Ovis aries: one gene and its partners. The protein of the gene in region 2 purifies or fractionates together with the protein of the main gene of each other region. This does not show direct contact. Links are inferred from orthologs where the notes say so. Each region holds a gene or a part of one and is shown on either strand. Other genes may lie near its edges. The genes, in order: SMC3, sororin, PDS5B and SMC1A.

Region 1 (5,684 bases), on a different chromosome or scaffold from region 2:
TTCATGGCAAATAGATGGGGAAACAATGGAAACAGTGAGACTTTATTTTTCAGGGCTCCAAAATCACTGCAGATGGTGACTGCAGCCATGAAATTAAAAGACGCTTTCTTCTTGGAAGAAAAGCTATGACTAACCTAGACAGCATATTAAAAGCAGACATTACTTTGCCTACAAAGGTCTGCCTAGTCAAAGCTATGGTTTTTCCAGTAGTCGTGTATGGATGTGAGAGTTGGACCATAAAGAAGGCTGAGCACCAAGAATTGATGCTTTTGAACTGTGGTGATGGAGAAGACTCTTGGGAGTCCCTTGTACTGCAAGGAGATCAAACCAGTCAATCCTAAAGAAAATCAATTCTGAATACTTACTGTAAGGACTGATGTTGAAGCTGAAGCTCCAATACTTTGGCCACCTGATGAGAACGGCCAACTTATTAGAAAAGACCCTGATGCCGGGAAAGATTGAAGGCAGGAGGAGAAGGGGGTGACAGAAATGAGATGGTTGGATCGCATCACCAACTCGATGGACAGGAGTCGGAGCAAATTCCAGGAGATGGTAAAGGACAGGGAAGGCTGGCATGCTGCACTCCATGGGGTCACAAAGAGTCAGACACAATTTAGCGACTGAATAACCACCAAAAGGCTTGAATGCACTGAACTTCCCCTTCACCAAAATCTTAAGAGACTGACCTTCCCCCACTGTCTCTTTGGAGCAGTCTCACAGAGTTATCTGAGGTGCTTATCTCCTGGGCTGCAGTCCTCATTTTGCCCCAAATAAAACTTAATTCCCAACTCATGCATTTTTTTTAGTCAACAGTATGAATCTTACCTCAAGCTATGGACTCCATGGTACATACTCTCCCTGACCCCTAATTCATATGTTAAAGCCCTAACCCTACTATGTGAAGCTTTTTGGAGATAAGGGGTCTTTGGGAGGTAATTTACATGAGGTTAGGAGTGAGGCCTTTATGGTAGGACTGCTCTTTCAAGAGGGAGAGGTTCAAACAAAGGTTCTCCAGAGCAGTGAAAAAATAAATCCCTGTTGTTTAAGCCATCTAGTCTATGACATTTTGTTGTGGCAGACCAAGCCAACTAGGACACTGTAGGGCTGAAATCTATGTTGATAGCGATTCTATACTTTTCTGGTGTCTGCTGCTGCTGCTGCTAAGTCGCTTCAGGCATGTCCGACTCTGTGAGACCCCATAGACGGCAGCCCACCAGGCTCCCCTGTCCCTGGGATTCTCCAGGCAAGAATACTGGAATGGGTTGCCATTTCCTTCTCCAATGCATGAAAGTGAAAAGTCAAAGTGAAGTCACTCAGTCGTGTCGGAATCTTAGCGACCCCATGGGATTTTCCAGGCAAGAGTACTGGAGTGGGGTGCCATTGCCTTCTCCTTTCTGGTGTCTAGAAGCACTCATTTAATCTGTTCTTTAAAAACTCAGCAGATGGTCAGAAAACACCTGCTGTCTGTATCACTATCATCTGTAGAACCTATATATTAATTATTATATTGAAGGACAATCACCATTAGCCCCCTTATCCTCACATTATTGCTTTCTCATTTAATGTTCCCAACAGCCCTAAGAAACATGTATCATTATTTCCACTTTCCAAGTGAGAAAACTGAAGCATCAGGAAGTCTGAAGAATACATAGCAGAACTGGGATTTGAATCCCATTCTGCCATGATCCAAAGTTTATGCTTTTCCTATCAAGCTGCATGGTCTGTCCTTGGACATTATAATGGGGAAAAAAAAATGTCTTAGAACAACCTAATTTGTGAATAAAGAATGGTCATCTTTGAAATAAGGCAATAGTGACCACTTTTAAAGTAGGAAATGACATACCAAGAATAGCTGAAATGCTAAATTTAGTGCCATTCACTATAAACTTAAATCTATTAAAACACATACACACAAGGCTACCAAATAAAAATGAATACTCTGTCTTATCCAAGTATTTTTAAACGTAAAAAGGAAGCAATTTCATCAGTGCAGATAAAAGTATTCACACAGAAAAAAAAATACAAATTTATGTAATATTAAGACAATTCCTGTCTCCTTAAGCCTAATGTAGGCAAATTTAAACGACTATGTAGACAGAAAACTGACAAGAGTGAACCATGAACACTTACCAATAACATTATGTTTTGAACTGAACGGGTCTACAATTGTTTGATCTCTATAACTTCGAAAACCCTGGATAATAACCTAACAAACAGAAGAGAGATTTTTTTCAGAAAGAAATAACATGCCCCAAAAGAAATAACCTCTAAGCTAGTATTTTCCTTTTGCCCTCCTTCCCTTTCTGGTTTCCCATTTAATGCCAAATAGAAAAATTCCCATGTCAGAGAAGAAAAATTTATCTTGGAAAATGATTTAAAAATCTTCTTAAAACTGCCCGTATATCAGTAACCACTACCAGTGTTGCTTAAGAGAAGTTATAATTAGTAACCTGTTAGGGAGCGCTCAAAATCAAATACACTGGGTAAGGCTGGCTGGAACACTAACCATCAGAGGGCCGGATAAAAGTCTTATCAAGTATGCAGGGGGGCTCAGCGGTCCTGGGCGCCCCTTTCAGTCACACTCTGACCAAAAAAGAGCCGCCCATCCAGGACAGGACTGCTCCGAGTCCAACACATCCAGCCGAGAAACTTCTCTTAACGAGTGTGAATGGGCTCATTTTCGGGGTGGCCTCCAGCGCGGGAAGACCATTTTGACAGAAAGTAAACAACGGAATGAGGAGGCGCTACACATTCTGCAGGAAGGAGGGACCCTTTCACGTCTCCGGTAACTCGGGGAGGAGCGAGGCCCCTGGCTAAGCTGACACCCAGCTTGGACCCCACAGGCGTCCCGAGGCCGGGGACACCCTCTCTTCACACACGCCACGCAAAAGGCTCGCGAGGGGGCTGCCTAGCCCCACAGGACCAAGCTGCTTCTCGTCCACCCGGGAGGGCCCGGTTCCCTCCAAAAGGCCCACGTCGCCAGCCCCTCCAGCTCTCTCCGCTAGAGCCCGCCTCCCTCAGACAAGCGCCCTGCGGAGAGGCTCGGGCTGCAAAGGGGCGGCTCGGGCTGCAAAGGGGCGCCCCGAGCTGCGCCCCTCCCCCACAGTCCCTGTCCAGCCCCGCGCCACCCTGCAAGAAGCAACACCCCCGACAGGAGCTGTCCTCACGAGCCCCTGAGGGGCGGGAGGGACGCACAGGCCTCACCTGCTTTATGTACATGGTTCCGTGCCCCTGGCCGGCGAGAAGGGCTCCCGGCGAGCAGCAACAACTCGGCAGCGGGGTTAGGTGAGGCGCCTAAACGACCCCACCCCCCAAGGCGCCGCTTGCACCCCTCGAGCCAAACAAAATGGCGGCGCCCATGGAGGCGGAGTCCCCGCCTCGGACGGAACCACCCTCGCAGCTTCCCTCGGAACGTGGGGGGAATCAGAGTCAGATCTGCTCTGTATTTTTAGCAAAAGAGCCTTCTGCGATGTCGCTAGCTGAATTTCATGTGACTCCTCAATTTTTCAATGAATTTTCCCTGAGAAGTAGTCGGAAACTTCATTCGGAAAAGCCTTGGTCGTGAGATTGACCTGTATACCCTCCGAGCGGGCAGCCAATGGTTGCGGCCACAAGGTGGCGAAAGGTTCGGCGCCAAAGCTGAGAGAGGGTGTCCAAGCGCCAGTAGCCGTGCGAGTTGACGGCCCCGTGGTCTCGCGCTGTTTGGAAATACCGAGCTGGGGCGGGCGGCGCGGCTGCCCGAACCTGTAGTGTACACGACCTGGGGGGAAACTCGGGGGGCAGAACCCCTGGTCCTCTATTATTCTCTCTCTTGTGTAACTTAGAATGGCCCCCGCTGACTCTGGACTCCCCACTCTCAGGACAGCCCCAAAGGGACTTGACGCTAGAAAATTAATTTTAATAATGTCATAGTTATTAATATCCCAGAGCTGTTACTGCTCTGCCAATTGGTATAAATCTAGGCAGATTGGACAACTGGAACGCAAAGATTTATTTAAGATTAAAACCCCTCCCCCCCTTTTTTTCCTAACAGCCTAAAAGCTTGGAGGTGCTAGTGGCAACCCTGGGCGTATCTGATCTGCACCAATCGCAGGAGAAAAACTCGGATCTCTGGGCCGCTGTAAAATTACCTGCCACTCAGCACTCAAGTTGGTCGGTCCTCGCCACCCGTCCCGCTACGGCGGACAGTTCTAGCGCTGATTATTTCTACATTGAGCTATTTCAAATGACTAACTTCGTCCCTGTCAACGCCTCTTGGTGCTGGAAGAAGACTTTATGTATGTACCTTTTTAATAGATGAAGAGGACAGGGACACTTCAGGGAAAACAAATGACTTATTAGAGGAGGCAAGGGAAAGAAAAAGAGCACTTCAGGGAAAACATACCACTTTTAGGAAAGTCAAACCGGCCCTTAGGAGAAGAGATGGAAGTCGCTGGTTTTTGCGACTTTGAGTATTACTTCCGTGATGAGACCAAACAAACTGAAAAGTTTTAGTTTGGAGCAGAGAAAGATTCATTGCGAGGAGAATGGGGCAGCTTATGTTCAAAAAGCACAAACTACCCAATGGTTTTCTGGGAAGAGTTTTGATAAGCAAATTTTGGAGGAAGGGCTGCAGAGGTGTGTGACCTGGTATAGTAACGGTGATATTCCAGGACTCTCAATTAGCCCTCTTGTTCCAGCCAGTCGGGGGTCCACATGCTTGCGCTCAGCCTTCATTTACCGTTCTTGATCTGCCTGGGGGACTTAGTGCCTGTAGAAGAACTCAAGAGATGTGTACCAGATTGTAGTGTGTGTACCTTGAAAAAGAACCAGGACCCCTCCCCATCACTGCTCTATTGTTTCTTGCCTCCTTTTAATTTCTTTCTACATTCCTTCACTCCCCTAGTTAGTAACTTTGAGTATCCCCTTTGGAATCCAGGGAAAATCTAGGAGGCTGAAGCCTTTTTCTTACAAACAAGAAATGGGAGACACAGGTTTTTGGTATGAGGCAGGGCCCCCAGGGTCCTGCCTGGATTCAGTAACACTCAAAAATCTAACTGCTCCCTTTCTCCGATGGGTCAGTTACTCTGATAACTTTCAGGGTCAGATTGGAGGAATAAATATACTGAATATATTTGCAGGAGGAATACACCTTGCTCAGGACCCAGCCTTCTGTTCGGTTTATGGGCTGTGGTGTGGGATCTGGCTAAAGTCTATAAACTGGGTGAAAGGTTGTGATTTTTCTGCTGTGGTGACTGACATCAGCCTCCACTCACCTAAACCTAATCTAATATAGTATGTAAATGAACCTCTACCACAACTGGCTGCCTATTTCACTCCTAGGAACAAGGTGGTCTTAGCTGTAACCATAGACTCCTTAAATGTAAGGGCTAAAAATAGAAAATCGTAGATGATAATGTAGGAGTAAATCTTTGTGACTATAAATCAGGCAATGGTTTCTTAAACATGACACTAAAAGCACAAGCGATGAAAGAAACATAATTTATACTCTATGAAAACTTTTGTGCAGGGACTTCCCTGGTGGTCCAGTGATTAAGAATCTGTCTGCCAATGCAAGGGACACCAGTTCCATTTCTGGTCTGGGAAGATCCCATGTGCCCTGGAGCAATTAAGCCCGTATGCCACAACTACTGAGCCTGTACTTTAGAGCCTGCAAGCCATAGCTACTGAACCCTGCACACTCT
Region 2 (5,757 bases):
GGAGGGCAGAGTCTGGCCAGGGACACCCCCACTTCATCTCATTCAACCAGGAGATCAAAGCGCTCAGCGGCTTCAAACTCAGCATTCATGGCCGCGGCCCACTCATCCAGCTCCGATTTCTGGGGGAAGAGAAATGGGGGGCAGGTGAGTGGCGAAGGGGGCACGCCGGCTGTGCATCTCCACCCATACTCTGCAGGCACTGCCTTTCTACCACAAGAGCCAGGGCTGAGCCCCCGCCCTGCCTGTGTCCTGATGTGTCCCCCCGTGTGTCTGGCGTGGTAGCAGAGGAAGACCCCTGCCCCTCACTCACCAAGATCTCCGGCAGCTTTTTCTTCTTTCGTTTCTCTTTCACAACCAGAGGGGAGATTCCAGGGAGAGTTGTGTCTGGGGCCCAGGGCTTCACAGAAACCCTGGGGACCTCAGCTAACACTGAATCCACCACTGGCGAGACTCCAGCCAAATCTTCAGCTGCCAGCAGCCCCTCAAAGCCAAAGCAGGACCGGCGGCCTGGGGTGGAGGTGGACGCAGAGCCCAGAGTCTCCAGGCGGCTGTACGAGCGCCTGACCTTCTTTGACATTTCCAAGTCTCTGGCGTCCACGTCTCCTTTCCAGGAGTTGGACTCAGCACTCACGGGGCAAAGCACAGGAGTGGAGGGGGCGGTGACAGGGACAGTGCAGGTCTGGAAGAGGTCCTCCTTAGTGAGCTTCTTGCTAGGAGGGTTGTTTTCTTTCTCCAATAAAAAGGCGATCTGTAGCAGGACAGAAGAGAGAATGCCTCCCAGTTATTTAATTGTGCTACTGACTTCAAGAAAGGCCCAAGGATCTAAAATGTCCATCCAGTCACTAAGTCCTTACTGGTCACCTGCCAGGCACTGTGCCAGGCACTGGGAAGACAGCAGGGAAGAAAACAAAGAAGACACACCTGTTTCCACAGGGCTTCCATTCTAGTGGGAAAAAGACCACAGGGGGAATCGTGTCACATGTTAGAGGTGCTAAGCACCTTGGGAAGAAAACAACAGGATGGAGCGTACATGGGGTAAGCGGGAATTTTAAATAGGTGTAGGTCAATGTAGGCCTCACCGAGACAGACGTAGTACTTGAAGGAAGCAAAGGAGTCAGTCATCCAGAGGAGAACTGTCCTAGGCAGAGAACAGAAAGTGCAAAGTCCTGAGGTGAAACTGTGCCAGTCAGGGTCAAGGACAGAAGGGCAGTGAGGGTGAAGTGAGAGGGAGTGAGCCGAGGAACTGGTGATGGGATTCGAGAGGTAACGCGGGTGTTATAGGGCATGTCTGCAGGCCAGTATTTTAAGGGGAGGCCCCGGGAGCCATGGCAAGGTCGTGAACAGGAAAATGCTTAATCTGACATGTGTATTAAGATGTTCACACGCTGTTTCTCATAATTCCAGTCTCAGCTCTAGTGCTGCTTCCTCAGAGAGACGGTCCCTTACCATGGAACGGAGGCTAGCCCCTCCTTACCTCTGCCCATCACCCTCCGTCACAGTGACCCCTTTCCTGGCCAGCGGGATCACTACTTGATTCTGACTGTTTGCTGGTTGGCTGAGACCTCACCTAGAATGTGCCCGTCCCACGTGAGCAGGTGTCTTCATCTGTCTGGTTGACCTGGCCTATGCCCAGCACCTTCAGCAGAGCCCTGCATGGAGCAGGTGTTCAATACATAAAGACTCAACTGACTTTCACAAAACTTGACACTGAGCTTGATAACTAAGGTGAGAAACAGGACAAATTTAGTGACCCTTGTGGTTTAAAAGAATTTCATTAGTTATCACGAGACACTTCCTGGCTATAGGCTCTGGGGAATCTATCCCATCAGTCTTATTAACAGGGATGCTGAACAAAACGAGGGTCACCCAGACTACCACTGTACCAGTCCCTACAGCCATCCAAGTCCTTGCACATTTTTTTGGTCCAATATCTCATGAATCTATCATTCAGACAACAAATATACAAACAAAGTACTCTTGGCTATTCATAAGGCCTATTGGGAAGGCTTCAGGGAGGAGGTATCCTTTGAGCTGAGTCCTGTCTGATAGGGCTCTCCAGCAGAACTCCAGCAACACTCTGCTTTTACCTTCCTTCATGCACCCAATGTCTCACTTTAGGACTCCTTTGATGTTCTCCTACTTGGTCTTGGAGACCCCAGAAGGCTTTCTCCAACCCATTCTCCAACCAGACCCAAGAAGGATCTTTCTAAAACACCCAAGGCTGCCTCAGTAACTACCTTGCGACTCTCCAAATCTGCCCACAGAACAAAGGATGAAGTCCAAGTTCATCAGGATCTGCTCTGGCTTAGTACACTCCCTCTCCTGACAAGGTCTACTGCAGACACACCAAAAGTGCTGTTCCTGAAACCTTGTGCTTCTCCTTGTGGACTCCAGGTGTCTACAAACACAGTTTCCTTAGCCTGGAACACTGCTAACCTGTCTTCAAAGACTAAGTTCAAACACCTCTGTGAAACATTCCCTGAGCTACCTGGTCTGGGTTAGGTATCTTTACAGCATCTACACTTTCTTTATTACAGTCCTCAGCACACTATGTTATCACTTGTTTTTCTCCCCAGTTGACTAGAAGCCTCGGAGCTACTCAAAGGCAGGTAACGTTTCTCATTCGTTATATTTTCAGGTGCAGATCTTCTGTTAATGAGACACCTTTAACAATAATTTCTGCTAAAACAGTTCAAGACATTATAAGTTACTGAGTAAAAGAGGCTAGAAAGGAGAAAAAGTAGTAAGATCCAACTCAACTTTAAAAGGAAAATGGTAGAGAATACCAAGGCATTAAACGCACCAAGTGTGTAGGAAGTAAGCAAGCCTGGCAACATATGCAGGTGTCCAAAGGCAAACTGTTTCAAAATACAGCAAAAACAACTCCCTGGGCAGACATGAATGAGTGAGTGAAAGTCGCTCACTTGTGTCCAACTCTTTGCGACTCCAGGCCAGAATACTGGAGTGGGTAGCCTTTCCCTTCGCCAGGGGATCTTCCCAACCCAGGAATCGAACCCAGGTCTCCCGCATTGCAGGCAGATTCTTTACCAGCCGAGCCACAAGACATGAGCAGCCATTATATCCCACCCCAGCTGTAGAGTGTCTGTCCTGGACTCCCCTTAACTAAGAAAATGAAAATGAACTTACCCGGGGGCTTCTTCGAGGAGAGTTAATGGATGTGATCTGTGGGGACAACGAGTTGATCACACAGCCGACTCCCGATCCTGGCTCTCCACCTACAACCCCTCTCTCAGCCCTCACCTCTACAGTATGGGCCACGATCTTCTTCAAGACGATGGGCTTTCTGATTGGAGCCTCCTGAGGCGCCTGGAGAAGAGGAGTGAACATGAGGTCTATATTAGCCCAGAGGCTTCCAGGGCAGGAGGAACCTGAGGCTCACCTTAGGCAAGATTTCCGGGAGGGTGTTTGGGAGATCAGAGCCTGATTTCCGCTGGGACCTCCGCAGAGACCGAGTGGGAGTTGGGGCGCTGGGTCCTGCAATCAGAAAAATTTAGGAGGTAGGGGAGGGCTCTAGGCCTGAGTCTAGACAACAGGTTCTGAAGAAAGAGAGAGAAGGTTCCCAAACAGGCCCTTTGGGGGCGCCTTCCTGGCCAGGAGACGAGGGAGCCTTGGAGGGCGGCGGGCGGGGGAGGGGGGTTCCTCACCGAACTGCGTCCCTCAAACGGCTCAACCCCACCTCTCCCGCGCGCCCCCTCCGCTCACCGGGGCACTGGGCGGCCCCTCCGGACCGGGTTCGTCTCTCGGACATGTCTAGCTTTGGTCTCTATCCCCTCTGCTGCAGGTGCCGCCACCAGAGCGCGCGCCAACCCGAAGGGTAAACGTTCGAATTACCCGCCTTGCGCGGGAGGAAGCGGAAGTGACGTAAGGGGGAGGGCCGCGAGATCCGCTCACTCCTTTTTCCACCCTCCTCCATGTCTAGCGTCTACAGGGGCGGGGTCACTGGCACCCTGACGTCATCAGAGCGCGCCGCACCCGGAAGAGACGTGGCAGCCGAGGGATAATCGGAGCGTTGTGAGCTGGAGAGAGCTGGGCGAGAGCTTGGCTGAACGCGGTCTGACCTTCCGCTCTTCGGACCGGCCCTCGCGCCCGTGAGGACCGGTGCCGCAGCCGATTAGTAACACAGAGAGTGGGGTCTGTGGAGAAGGTGGGGGCGGGGCATGGAGGGGGTGGGGCTCAGGAGGGACCTCTGGGGGCGGGGCCGGTGGTATTGGAGAGACTGATGGAGGGGCCTGCCCAAGGATGGGATGAGGGACGAATGCGGGGGTCTCAGGAGGCGGGATTTATGCAGGGGCCGTGGCCCAGAATATAGAGAGACGGTGGGCAGGAGTTTGGGGTTGGAGCGGATACGTGCGGTGTCTAGGGAAGTTAAGAGTGGAAACAAACTGGGCTGGTAAATGTGTAGAGGTCAGCAGAATCTGGCTTCCTGCCAACTGTGACGCTTTCCTCAGGGTCGACTATGGGACTTTGCAAGTGCCCCAAGAGGAAGGTGACCAACCTATTCTGCTTCGAACACCGGGTCAACGTCTGCGAGCACTGCCTGGTAGCCAATCACGCCAAGGTGGGTGTTCATGTTAGAGACTGAGCAGGGCACTAGGTGGGCAGGTCGTCGACTTTCCTCCAAATTAATGAAAGGTCTGGCCCTAGAATGGGAGCTCCGCAAGGGCAGGGACTTAGTTTATTTTGTTCACTGTTGTATCCCCAGTGCTTAAGACAGAGTCTGGCACATATGTGCTCAATGAATGTTTATTGATTGGTCAAACGAAAGAATGAATCTCCTCTGTGATGACAGAAAAAGAGGCACCTGGGCCTTGGGGAGACGGGCTGTGGAGCCCTGGCTCCAGTTGTGACCCCCTTCTCCCACTTCAGTGCATCGTCCAGTCCTACCTGCAGTGGCTCCAAGATAGCGATTACAACCCCAATTGCCGCCTGTGTAACATACCCCTGGCTGCTCGGGAGACAACCCGCCTCATCTGTTATGGTGAGGCCTGGGCACCTTGGGGGTGGGGATCTGGACAAGACCAGTGTGACTGGTTTCCAGCGGCTCCCCAAGCAGCAGGACAGTGAGACCTTCAAGCTTGGGAGGCTGGAACTCAGATTCTGGTCCCACTAGGTAACTTACCTGCTGTGTGAGCTCAGGCAAGCCACTTTCCCTTCCTAGGCCTTAGTGTTTTTCCCTAAAAACTAAGCTCCTAGCTTCCTGCCTGCCAATCTCTCAGGTGTGGTTGTGGCTCTGAGCAGTAGCTGGCTGTACCTGTAGTGAGCTGAAAGCAGGGGGCTCTCAGACGTTCAGGATCTATTTCTAATTCCAACATTACACAGAGAGGAACTGAATTTCCCACAGTAACGTCAGTTAAAAGAAGTCAACAGAGGCATGTGTCATGATCTTGACCCGACTCTGCTGTAAGAGCCTTAGCTCCACTTTTTGAGCTTAACGTATGTGTTTCTCACTGTGAGTGTGTGTTTATATGTTCATGAGTTAAACGTGTGTTGTGTCTTTACCTGTTAGTGTATTCATTGCTACTGTGGGTGAGTGAATGGGTCAGTGTTGTATATGAATATATGAGCATGTTGTGAGGTTGCAGAATTCCTGGGTGTGAATGCTTGGGTATTGGCATACTTGAGTGTATGTGAGAGTAAGTGTGCCTATAAGTGTGGATATAGGGGATGGCACTTGTGTTTGACTACGTGTATATAAACGTGTACATTTGTGCCGATGGATGTGTACACGCATCCAGG
Region 3 (5,203 bases), on a different chromosome or scaffold from region 2:
ATTACCATTGTTTTATAACCAATTATTATTCTTAACACGTTCCTGATAGTCCTTTCTTAAAATCTTTCTCCTACATTAACTTTCAGCCTTAGCATCACATACATGAATGCTTATAAATAGCCTTTCCCAGGATTAGCAAAAGAGAAAATATTTTACTTTTCTGTTTAATAATTTTAAAGAGAAATGAACAGAAGTCAATGTCAATGGCAAAAAACAATGACAAACATCACCATGTTATTTATGTGTCTTTAATAAAGGAAAACATCTGGTATTTATGAACTTAGGCGTATAGCTACCTTTCTCAGAAGTTACTTATTGAGTTTGGATCATAATAACTATCAAAAAGATATAAAAAATGTGGCAAGTACTAATGAAAACATAAAATTTCAGATAAAATAAGTTTAGTATTATGAAGAGGAACACAAACAGAACAGGATTTTAATGTAATTAACTTATAGTTTAGTTTTCCTTTAATGAAGCCATCAGTTACTATGTACACATCAGCCTTATTTTTATACCTTCCCCCCATAAAAACCCTTTATAAGCCAAACTAGTTTGAGACCATAATTCAACATATTTTTTTCCTCTGGTCTTCAACTAATTCAGATAAATGAATCCTGATGCAGACAGAGGTGCTGATTATATTAAATAAGACAGAGAGGCAGGGGTCAACTCTGGGGCTTGATCACAGGACACACGTTTCTCAAACAAAAAACTGAAACTAGCTGAGCTGATCCACAGATTCAGCAAGAATATTAGCAATACACAGCTCTTACTTAGACGCATCAATTATATTTCTTCCAAAGAGAAAAATCGGAGCTGTGACAGGCAGCCATTCATTATTTTAAAAAGTATCTTGGGAGGCATCACATTCCTACTTTTGTGAAAGAAAGGTCTATTGCCAATTTTTATGAATTCCAAACGCTAATTTTATTTGAAGACATGACTTTATTCTACATGACTGACTAAATTCTAGTTGCTACTGAGAAACTCAAACAAAAAACTTATACGAAATATCACCAAGAGTATATGTAACAGATACTGGGAAAACTTAAGTGCATGTGGTGTCGTCCTGAGACTATCACTTGCTCTTCTCTGTATTCAGTTGTACACTGGACATTTACACTTTCACTAGGCTATGTCTATTATTCTCACTTGGTTTCAGGTTTTCATAAATGATATTTTCTCCACAATCTAAGCTGATAGATGAACTAACACACTACAAACAAATGAAAAAATATATACATAAATATTCAGAATTATTAAGTAACAGCAAGTGCTAAAAGAATCTGACCACTTATCAACTCTAATTCTACTGAATATACTCCATACTATCACACATGGAACTTTAAAAAACACATACATTTACTGTAGAGACTTCATCTTCTTCTGTTTCTTCCTGTGGATTTTCATCATTGACAGGAGAGCTACCCTGAAACACATCTATTTCTTCACTTGAGTCATTTTCTTTAGTAGCTGCTTGTTTAGAGCGTCCTACACGGCTAGAGTAAAACACAGGTAAAATAAAATGAACATTGTGATCTTTAAGTGGTAGTTTACCTTCATAAGAGGCCTTCCCTGGTATACCACTCAGCTGGTTAAGAATCTGCCTGCAAGGCAGGAGAATCAGGGGTTTGATTCCTGGGTTGGGAAGATCCCCTGGCGAAGGGACAGGCTACCCACTCCAGAATTCTTGAGCTTCCTTGGTGGCTCAGACGGTAAAGATGAATGAATGCAGGAGACCTGGGTTCAATTCCTGGGTTGGGAAGATCCCCTGGAGAAGGAAATGGCTACCCCCCCGCCCCCCCAGTATTCTGGCCTGGAGAATTCCCATGGACTCCATGGGGTCACGAAGAGTCGGAAATGAATGAGCAACTTCACTTTCTACTTTACTTCATAAGAGGAAATGCTTTAATTACTTAATAGACTGTCCTTTATTATCATTTTTACCCTCAATTACCGTGTAAGCCAAGAAATATTTTTCTTACATTCTAAACCCTAAACCAGTACTTAACCCTAGATTGTTACATATAAAAAGATCTAACAAATAACAAAAGTCAGGGTGACTGAAACCAACGCCATAAAGGATTTTAATATATAACCCAAAGTCTACTCTTCCTTTCCCAAGTCTGTAAAAGGCATCTATGTCTACTGAGTTGCTGAAACCAGAAAATTTAGAGTCTTCCTTAATAGTGTGCAATTCTTTGTCTGACCCAAAGATTCTACTTGTAAAGAAATATCAAATCCATTCACTCTCTCCATCTTCACTGTTACATCATACATATTTCTAAACCATTCTCATCTCTTGCCTCTAAGTAATCTTTTAAAAATGTAAAACAGCTGATGTCATGCCCCTGAGAGAGGCCCCTACTGTACTGAGAGTAACTGCATTAACCTCCTTGATAAGTACATAAGGACCTTTAGACTGGCCTTGCCTACTTTCAGTTCTCATCTCTTTCTATACCCCAATTCCCTGAAACTGCAATACAGCAAAAACTTTGCCTTCCTTCGGCTCTCTGAATTTGTCAAGATTGTTCCCACTTCAGCACCTTCCAAAACAATGTCCCCTCCACTTGAAATGTTCCTCTCCCTACTCTCTAGAAGTCTAAGTCCTACTGTTCTCAAGGAATCAACTTGAGGAATCAACTTGTTCTCAAGGAATCAACTTTCCAAAGAGAAAACTTCCCCAGTTCCCCAGCCCTCTCATTACACTCTCTTACAGCACCCTAACTTTGTCCTCCAAGGTACATTTCACAACTTATTATTTCACATTCATGTGTGATTATTTAATAACTACATTCCCTTTTAGATGCTAAGCACTATAAGGATGTCTGTTTTCTGTCACTATATTCCTTAGCACCTAGTACTCTCTGACACATAGAAGATACTCAAAAATATGTAACAGATACCACCATTTAATTAAACGTATATATCTGTTGGTATTTAATTTAGAATTTCCTCATCATTTCTATAAGCAACTGAATATACATACTGTTTAATCTGTACTCAAACCAATTTTCTCAAATTTACTTGATTTAGTTTTTCAGAATTAACAGAAGAAAATACAGGGAAAATAATATAATCTTGCTCAATTCCACTAAGATCAGAACAAGAAAACAAGCAAATAGTAACATATGTGATCATACTACCTCTAAAGAGGGGCCTTCCAGTAAAAAGAAGTTAGGCTGTTAAGATAGGACATAGACTCTCTCTCTCTGTGTGTTGATTTTTTTAACAGAAAATACTTGCTTCATTAAAAACATTCCCATGAGGAGGACTTGTGTAATTTTACAAGACAAAATGATAATCATATAAGCCCTTAATTTTATGATGCCCCAATATAAATTAAAGTTATAAGCATGAAAGATATTTACCCTGTTATTTTGTTATAAAGTTAATCATTGAAATTTAGGCTATCTTAGGAATTTTTTTTAAGTTATTTTTCCATGGTTGCATACAAACACATTTATAAAGCTGCCGAAAAAATGTACTTACCTTTACTTTTTACGTGAAGGAAAAATTAAATGGAAAAAGGTGGGAAGTACTGGCTAGACACTCAGTAACTTTTCCCATGGAATACACAGGAACAGGAAACTATGAACTGAGTGTTTAACCAAGGTGTGCTGGCAACTGAAAAGTCAAGCCACTGAAGTATGAGATTACTTTCAGAAAAACTGTAAAATTTCTGACAGACAACATGCTACTCTGTTTTTGCTTTAAATGAGGAAAAAAGTGCCAAATTTATAAATTACAACATTGATGCCCCTGCCACTTTAATAATTTTGGACACAGATTTGTTACTATAACTCTCCTATAAACATGTACTTGTGTGAACATCCAAAACTATCTATATGTAGATACAGATGTGTTAATTTACTTAGAAAACAATATCAAGACATCAAAAGCTTGAGATCACTATGTGATAATTTCCACCAACGTACTTAGGAAAAATGATGCCTGTTACTTTCCTACACTGATCAAAGAATGAAAGCAAAAGTGTATAAGCTATTTTTTTAAAGCTGCTGAGGAAAGATGGAAAACCTGTGGTGTGGAGTAACAAGAAAATGTGATCTATGCGTGATTATTTAAAGATACGCCATCGTCTCTTTAGGTACCATAAAGTGTGTACTGGAAATAATCAACTATTTGGTATTTGTTTATAACCATTTCTCTAAAGCCTATAAAAATGTACAAATGTCGCCAAAGGATGATTGGGATATTAATCACCTAGGTAAGTTTACAAAAATTTTATCTTACCTAGTATAATGGGCTAAATATATGGGTGGCTCAGACAGTAAAGAATCTGCCTGCAGTGTAGGAGATCTCGTTCGATTCTTAGGTCAGGAAGATCTCCTGGAGAAGGGAATGGCAACCCACTCCAGGATTCTTGCCTGGAGAATTCTTCCTTGGAGAATGGACAAGGGAGCCTGGTGGGCTACAGTCCAAGGGGTAACGAAGAGCTGGACACGACTGAGCAACGAACACTTTCACTATGTATTGTTATACTTAGAAATTTATGAACTCTTGCAAAATAATTTGAAACTGGTTTGAAACTTAATATTATTTACAACTTACACATTTTTGGGGGGTTGTGATGGTGATGGTGTTTTTGATGGTCTTCCTCGTCCTTTCTGTGGTGTGGACTGTGTGGATTCAACTGCACTAGTTTCTGGAGACTCTGCTCTGCTTTGGGAAAGACCCAGATGCAGACAGCATCAAGTTATGATTTACAGTACAATAACTGAATGCATGCAGTTCAGAGTGGCACACACTTACCTCTGCTGTGCTCTCCTTGAAGGCCGGTGCTGTTTACTTTTTGACTTCTGCTCTGTGTTTCCACTTTGTCTTTCTTCTTCCTCCTCCTCTTCTGCTGTTGAAGGTCCAGATTTTTTTTTGCTTCCTTTTTTGGATGTTTTCATCGTTGGCTCTTCTTTGGGTGTACCCCCACCAAGAGGTTTTGGTGGTCGGCCTCGTTTACCTTTTTTTGGTGGACTGTTCTGTTCATCCTCATTTTCTAGTATATCTTCTTTGAGCCTCTTTTCCTCAGGCCACTGCTGTTCGTCTGACTCTGAAGCTGTATGGCCTCTCTTTCGTCCACGCTGACTGCCTTTAGGTTTCTGTTCCTGTACCAACTTGGAAAGGTCATCCATGCCTAATTTCTCTTCTGAATCTGTTACAGGTGTCTTTTTCCGGCTTCTAGGTT
Region 4 (5,651 bases), on a different chromosome or scaffold from region 2:
GCAATGTCTTCTTTGGGGAACTCCACAGGCCAGTGATGAAGATATCAAAATATACACCATGAATTCACGACAGAATAAAAATTAACATGTACCAGGTGTCTAGAGCAGAAATTCACTGAAGGGAATCAAGGCAAATCTTGTGAGTTGCACACTAAAGAACAGGTAAGGGAGGGCCAGTCAGACCAAGGGGTTTTTTTGGAACACTTGCACATACAAATTTACCCATGTTGAGGGGACTGAATGCCAAAAGGTGCATCCTGGCTCTTTCCACGGGGGCCACCAAACAAAACCCTAAACAACTGCAATGAAACCCCAAGCATTAGCCATCTAAGAAGATGGGGGGAAGTGGAATGGTTTTGCCTCTCCCCCCAGGGGACACTTGGTAATGTCTAGAGACATTTTTGATTGTCATACCTGAGTCATGGGGGGTGGTGCTACTGTCACCTAGTGGGTAAAAGCTAAGGAAGCCACTAAATATCCTACAATGCACAGGATGGACTCCAAAGCAAAGAATTCTCTCACTGGAAATGTCAATAGCGCTGCTATAGAGAAACCCTGCTTAATTGAGAGCGAAATCTAGGCAAGTCTCCAGGGAAGGTCATCAGTTAGAGCTACTTCAGCAAGGGCAGTCCCTCAGGCTAGGAAGTGATTTAGCTAGAACACCTCTGAGGTGGAGGAACACAGCAGGATTCCAAATAGATAGCTAACGTGGGCAGACAGGAGGAATCCTTGGTGTATAATTTAGACAGGGAATTTAGATATGAAATAGAGACTTTACCTGACTACTCTTTCTTCCTTTTTCCTTTTCCCCCCAGTTTTAATAACAGTTGAGCTATTTCAAATCCTAAAAGATGATGCTGTTAAAGTGATGCACTCAACATGCCAGCAAATTTGGAAAACTCAGCAGGGGCCACAGGACCGGAAAAAGGTCAGCTTTCATTCCAATCCCAAAGAAAGGCAATGCCAAAGAATGTTCAAACTACCGCGCAATTGCACTCATCTCACACGCTAGTAAAGTAATGCTCAAAATTCTCCAAGCTAGGCTTCAACAGTACATTTACCAAGAACTTTCAGATGTTCAAGCTGGATTTAGGAAAGGCAAAAGGAACCAGAGATCAAATTGCCAACATCTGTTGGATCATAGAAAAAGCAAGAGACTTCCAGAAAAATATCTACTTCTGCTTCACTGACTGCCAAAGCCATTGACTGTGTGAATCCCAACAAACTGTGGAAAATTCTTCAAGAGATAGGAATACCAGACCACCTTATCTGCCTCCCGAAAAATCTGTATGCAGGTCAAGAAGCAACAGAACCAGAAACGGAACAACGGACTGGTTCCAAATTGGGAAAGGAGTATGTCAAGGCTGTATACTGTCACCATGCTTATTCAACTTATATGCAGAGTACATCATGCAAAATACCGGGCTGGATGAAACACAAGCTAGAATCAAGACTGCTCAGAGACATGTCAATAACCTTAGATACACAGATGACACCACCTTTATGGGCGAAAACAAAGAACTGAAGAGCCTCTTGATGAAAGTGAAAGAGAAAAGTGGAAAAAGTTGGCTTAAAACTCAACATTCAAAAAATGAAGATCATGGCATCTGGTCCCATCACTTCATGGCAAATAGATGGGGAAACAATGGAAACAGTGGCAGACTTTATTTTGGGGGGCTCCAAAATCACTGCAGATGGTGACTGCAGCATGAAATTAAAACATGCTTGCTCCTTGGAAGTAAAGCTTTGACCAGCCTAGACAGCATATTAAAAAGTATAGACATTATTTGCCGACGTGTTGTCAAAGCTATGTTTTCTGTTACTAGTGTATGGATATGAGAATCGGACCATAAAGCTGAGCACTGAAGAAATGATGATGCTTTTGAACTGTAGTGTTAAAGACTCCTGAGAGTCCCTTGGACTGCAAGGAGATCAAACCAGTCAATCCTAAAGGAGATCAGTCCTGAATATTCATTGGAAGGACTGATGCTGATGCTGAAACTCCAATACTTTGGCCGCCTTATACGAAGAGCTGACTCACTGGAAAAGACCCTGACGCTGGGAAAGACTGAAGGCAGGAGAAGGGGACGACAGAGGATGAGATGGTTGGATGGCATCACCGACTTGATGGACATGAGTTTGAGCAAGCTCAGGGAGTTGGTGATCGACAGGTAAGCCTGGCGCGCTGCAGTCTATGGGGTTGCAAAGAGTCAACAGCGACTGAGCAACTGAACTGAACTGACATACAACACTGTATTAGTTTCATGTGTACTATGTGACTCCGTATTTGTATATATTGCAAAATGGCTGCCCCAGTAAGTTAACATCCATCACCTCACAGTTAATATTTTTTGTGACTTTTTAAAGATCTACTCTTATCAATTTTGAAATACACAATACAGTATTGTTAACTAATGACCACTCTTCCTAAAGAGGCATCCGAGTCATTTATCACATCATCACTTTATTACATCAATCTAATTTCCTGTACAGCACTTATTACAGCCGAAAAATAACTTATTTTCTCCTTTATTATCGTCTTTCCCCTCGAAATATAAGTTCTCTGAAAGCGTGGCTTATTCTATTCTCCGCTGTTTCCACAGCACCTTGATTGAACAAATCCTTATAAAGCAGTAAACATTTAATAAATTTGACAAGCTAAAGACTCCTGACTTTCGACGGTTTCAGTGGTAGGAAAGGGGCGAATTCGAGGCATCCCCACTTCTCAGTTGAGGATGGGGGAGTTCAAGACCCCAAGCACTACCGAGACTGGAGCACGGAGTTCGAAATTCAAAAGTGCCGCCTCCAGAGAAGAGTTTAAAAAAAAAAAAAAAAAAAGGAATTGGAGTGTACCAACGCGAGACGGGAGGAGGCGCTGGGATGAAGCAGAAGTATACCATTTGGCCCAGAGGCCAGGAGAGGGCCACGAGCTTCCCGGTGGTTAAAACAATGTGTGGGGGCCGGATGCAGCTGCGCCGGCGAGGAATTGCGTGGCCCGCGACTGGAAGCATGCTCCGGACGCGCCACTTCTGGAGGCAGGGGGCAGTGGGCGGGGTAACGTACAGCTCGGCCCGTACCACTCAGGCCGGGACGGGGGTCACGCAAAGAGCGGGCAAGTGACATCTGGGGAAGAGGTTCGAATCAGAGCACCCAAGCGGGAAAAGCGGGTCAGGATCGAACACTTAGAAGGGCAAGGAACCTCCTAGGTTGCAAAGCCTGGGTTGTACTACTCTGCTGCGGACAGGGGGTCCAGGCTGGGACGTGCGCAGGGCCGCAGCCGGGCTTATCTCACCAGAGCCATTGGGTCCAATGATGGCGGTGAACCTCTGAAATGGTCCGATAATCTGCCGACCCTTGTACGATTTAAAGTTCTCGATCTCAATCAGCTTCAGGAACCCCATGACTGCGGCAGCGCCGCCGGCGCTAAGAAAGGCCGCGCCGTTCGCCCGCCAACTGGGATAGCCCGCGCGGGAAACACCGCAGTGCAGGCCGGGCGGACAGCAAACCTCGCGAGAATAAGTCCAGGCCGAACGGGATTTTCGACTTCCGGCGCAGGATGGAACCAAGGGGCGGGGCATTCGGACGGATGTGGCGGTTTTGTTGATCGGTTGCCAAGGCGCGAGGTTACGACTGGCGTTCGGGCCCCGCCCCCTTTTCTTGTTGCATGGCAATTTCAAACCGCCGCTACAGGCGACCTCGTAGTTGAGGAGGCAAGCAGTGCAGTGAGGTGTCTGCAGCTTTGAGGATCCCGGAAAGCTGGCTGACGAGGCCGACCCTTGCTGAGACAAGTCAGAAGTCACAGGAGGGTTATGCCCTCCAGGGCAAGAGTAAGGTGGGAGCTCGGCTGCAGCTTTTGCCTGGCCGGCGGGAAGGTTCAGACAAGAAAAGGGTCGGGAATTGGAAAGACCCCAGGGAGGGGAGGAAGGAGGGGCAAGCAGGAGGATTCCGTGTTAGAGGAGCTCAAATCTTGCTGAGGTTGGAATTGGAGTGGGGTGGAGTTATACATGGGATAGGGTGTTAAGGGGGATGAGGTGTGAATGGAGAAGGGGAACTCTGGAGCCACAGTTTTCCCCAACTGTGGCCAGAGGTACTACCCCTACCCGCCCCCCCCCCGCCCCGCCTCCCTCCTTCTTCTCCAAGCAGAGTTCAGAGACTGCCACTATAGTCTTGGACCTAACCTGGGAGCTTCACAATTGGGACTCCTTGATGAAAAAGGTATTTTGTGTGAACCCCTGGGAGTCAGGGTCCCTAAGCCTGTGCTCTCCACCTCTTATCCTTCTTCCCTTCCCCCTCTTCATCTCTGTCTTTTCATGCCTCACTCCCATCCCATTCCCTCCTCTCCATCCCCCCTCTGCCCAGTCCCTTGCTTCCCTTCCTTTTCTCTGCTCTGTCCTCCACCCCTATCAACCACCCGGTTTTCCTCCTTCCTCTTTTCCCCCTCTGCCCCTGACCTTTCTGTCCCTTTCCCCTGTTTCCCATCTTTTCTATCCCTCTGCTTCATCCCATCATCCCCCCTTACCTTATTACCTGCTCTTTATTAAGCCATAATGTTAGCAGTTCAAGAAGCTGTAGAATCTTCCCCTTCAGTTTGACCTTATATTGTGGTGACAGATGGAATATAAGCAAGCTGGCGTCAGTGCTTAGACTTAGACATGGAAAGGGTCTGGTGGCTGCTACAGCCATTCCTGTAACTATTTTTTAAACGATGTCTGGAGGCTGGGAAGAGTCTTAGGACAAGTCCAGAAAAGTGAGAAAGCCTGGTTGATGCAATTAAGTAAATGAAGTTCAGTTGGGAGATACTGGTGTGATCAGGCTGAGGGGATAAAATGACCAAAGACAGCAATCTCATAATGGACAGGAACTAGAAATCCCATGAATGGAAGAGCCTGGCGGGCTACACCTTGGGGTGGCAAAACAGTTGGACAGGACTTAGCAACTAAACAACAACAATAACTTCATTTAAGATGAAATGTAGCTTTTTGGAGAGAAAATCAAATTGGATCCCTACTTCTCACACCATATACAAAAGGCAATTCCCAGATAGATTAAAAACTTAAATGAGAAAAGCAAAACTTTAGAAATTTTAGGATATATAGGAGAATATCTTTATCACCTCAGGGGATTTCTTAAATGATAAAAACTTCTGAACTTAAAGGAAAAGATTGGTAAATTTGACTGCATTCAAATTCCTCCAAATTATAACATAAAGTGAAAAGATGATAAGTGCACACAAAAAGCTTCTAAAGTATCAATCTGGGTTCTGTGGAGGGTTTGCAGGTGTTCATTTTGTTGTTGTACTTCATAACTTATATGTGTTAACCATTTTCCTTTGTATGTATCGATCATTAACATAAATTATTATAAAATAATAACAAAGTGAAAACACAAGCCACAAATTGAAGATGTTTCCCACAGGTAAACTAAGAAATGATTGGTGTGCAGAATACACAAGAAACTCCTAAAATTAATAAGAAGAGGACAAACATTTTTTAATGAACAAAAGATATGAATGGGCACTTCACAGAAGAGAAAGAAAAAATGCCCAAAACACACATGAAAAGATGTTGCAGACTCATCAGCAATAAGGAAAATGCCAATTAAAATAGATAATTATAACTTTATACCTACAAGCTGGCAAAAATTAAAAAGTC

The links.
Region 1: the proteins of sororin (region 2) and SMC3 purify together in Homo sapiens (affinity purification with mass spectrometry; 7 studies listed by BioGRID and IntAct, counting the BioPlex papers as one, with this or other methods). This does not show direct contact. The link is inferred for Ovis aries from reciprocal best matches to the Homo sapiens genes CDCA5 and SMC3.
Region 3: the proteins of sororin (region 2) and PDS5B purify together in Homo sapiens (affinity purification with western blotting; 4 studies listed by BioGRID and IntAct, with this or other methods). This does not show direct contact. The link is inferred for Ovis aries from reciprocal best matches to the Homo sapiens genes CDCA5 and PDS5B.
Region 4: the proteins of sororin (region 2) and SMC1A purify together in Homo sapiens (affinity purification with mass spectrometry; 7 studies listed by BioGRID and IntAct, counting the BioPlex papers as one, with this or other methods). This does not show direct contact. The link is inferred for Ovis aries from reciprocal best matches to the Homo sapiens genes CDCA5 and SMC1A.

What each region holds. Positions count from the first base shown.
Region 1 is NC_056075.1:30,647,795-30,653,478, reverse strand, and holds the start of SMC3 (structural maintenance of chromosomes protein 3), read right to left. Parts: upstream 3,344-5,684; 5' UTR 3,220-3,343; coding exon 3,205-3,219; intron 2,207-3,204; coding exon 2,131-2,206; intron 1-2,130. UniProt on the Homo sapiens protein: Central component of cohesin, a complex required for chromosome cohesion during the cell cycle. The cohesin complex may form a large proteinaceous ring within which sister chromatids can be trapped.
Region 2 is NC_056074.1:39,743,270-39,749,026, forward strand, and holds the start of sororin, read right to left. Parts: upstream 3,851-5,757; 5' UTR 3,770-3,850; coding exon 3,724-3,769; intron 3,496-3,723; coding exon 3,401-3,495; intron 3,328-3,400; coding exon 3,148-3,327; intron 749-3,147; coding exon 311-748; intron 120-310; coding exon of another isoform or gene 39-119; exon of another isoform or gene 1-38. Other genes in the region: ZFPL1 (zinc finger protein-like 1), read left to right, coding at 4,478-4,579, 4,888-4,999. UniProt on the Homo sapiens protein: Regulator of sister chromatid cohesion in mitosis stabilizing cohesin complex association with chromatin. May antagonize the action of WAPL which stimulates cohesin dissociation from chromatin.
Region 3 is NC_056063.1:28,615,307-28,620,509, forward strand, and holds part of PDS5B (sister chromatid cohesion protein PDS5 homolog B), read right to left. Parts: coding exon 4,777-5,203; intron 4,687-4,776; coding exon 4,576-4,686; coding exon of another isoform or gene 4,572-4,575; intron 1,503-4,571; coding exon 1,364-1,502; intron 1-1,363. UniProt on the Homo sapiens protein: Regulator of sister chromatid cohesion in mitosis which may stabilize cohesin complex association with chromatin. May couple sister chromatid cohesion during mitosis to DNA replication.
Region 4 is NC_056080.1:51,291,532-51,297,182, forward strand, and holds the start of SMC1A (structural maintenance of chromosomes protein 1A), read right to left. Parts: upstream 3,468-5,651; 5' UTR 3,402-3,467; coding exon 3,293-3,401; intron 1-3,292. Other genes in the region: RIBC1 (RIB43A-like with coiled-coils protein 1), read left to right, coding at 4,207-4,215. UniProt on the Homo sapiens protein: Involved in chromosome cohesion during cell cycle and in DNA repair. Central component of cohesin complex. The cohesin complex is required for the cohesion of sister chromatids after DNA replication.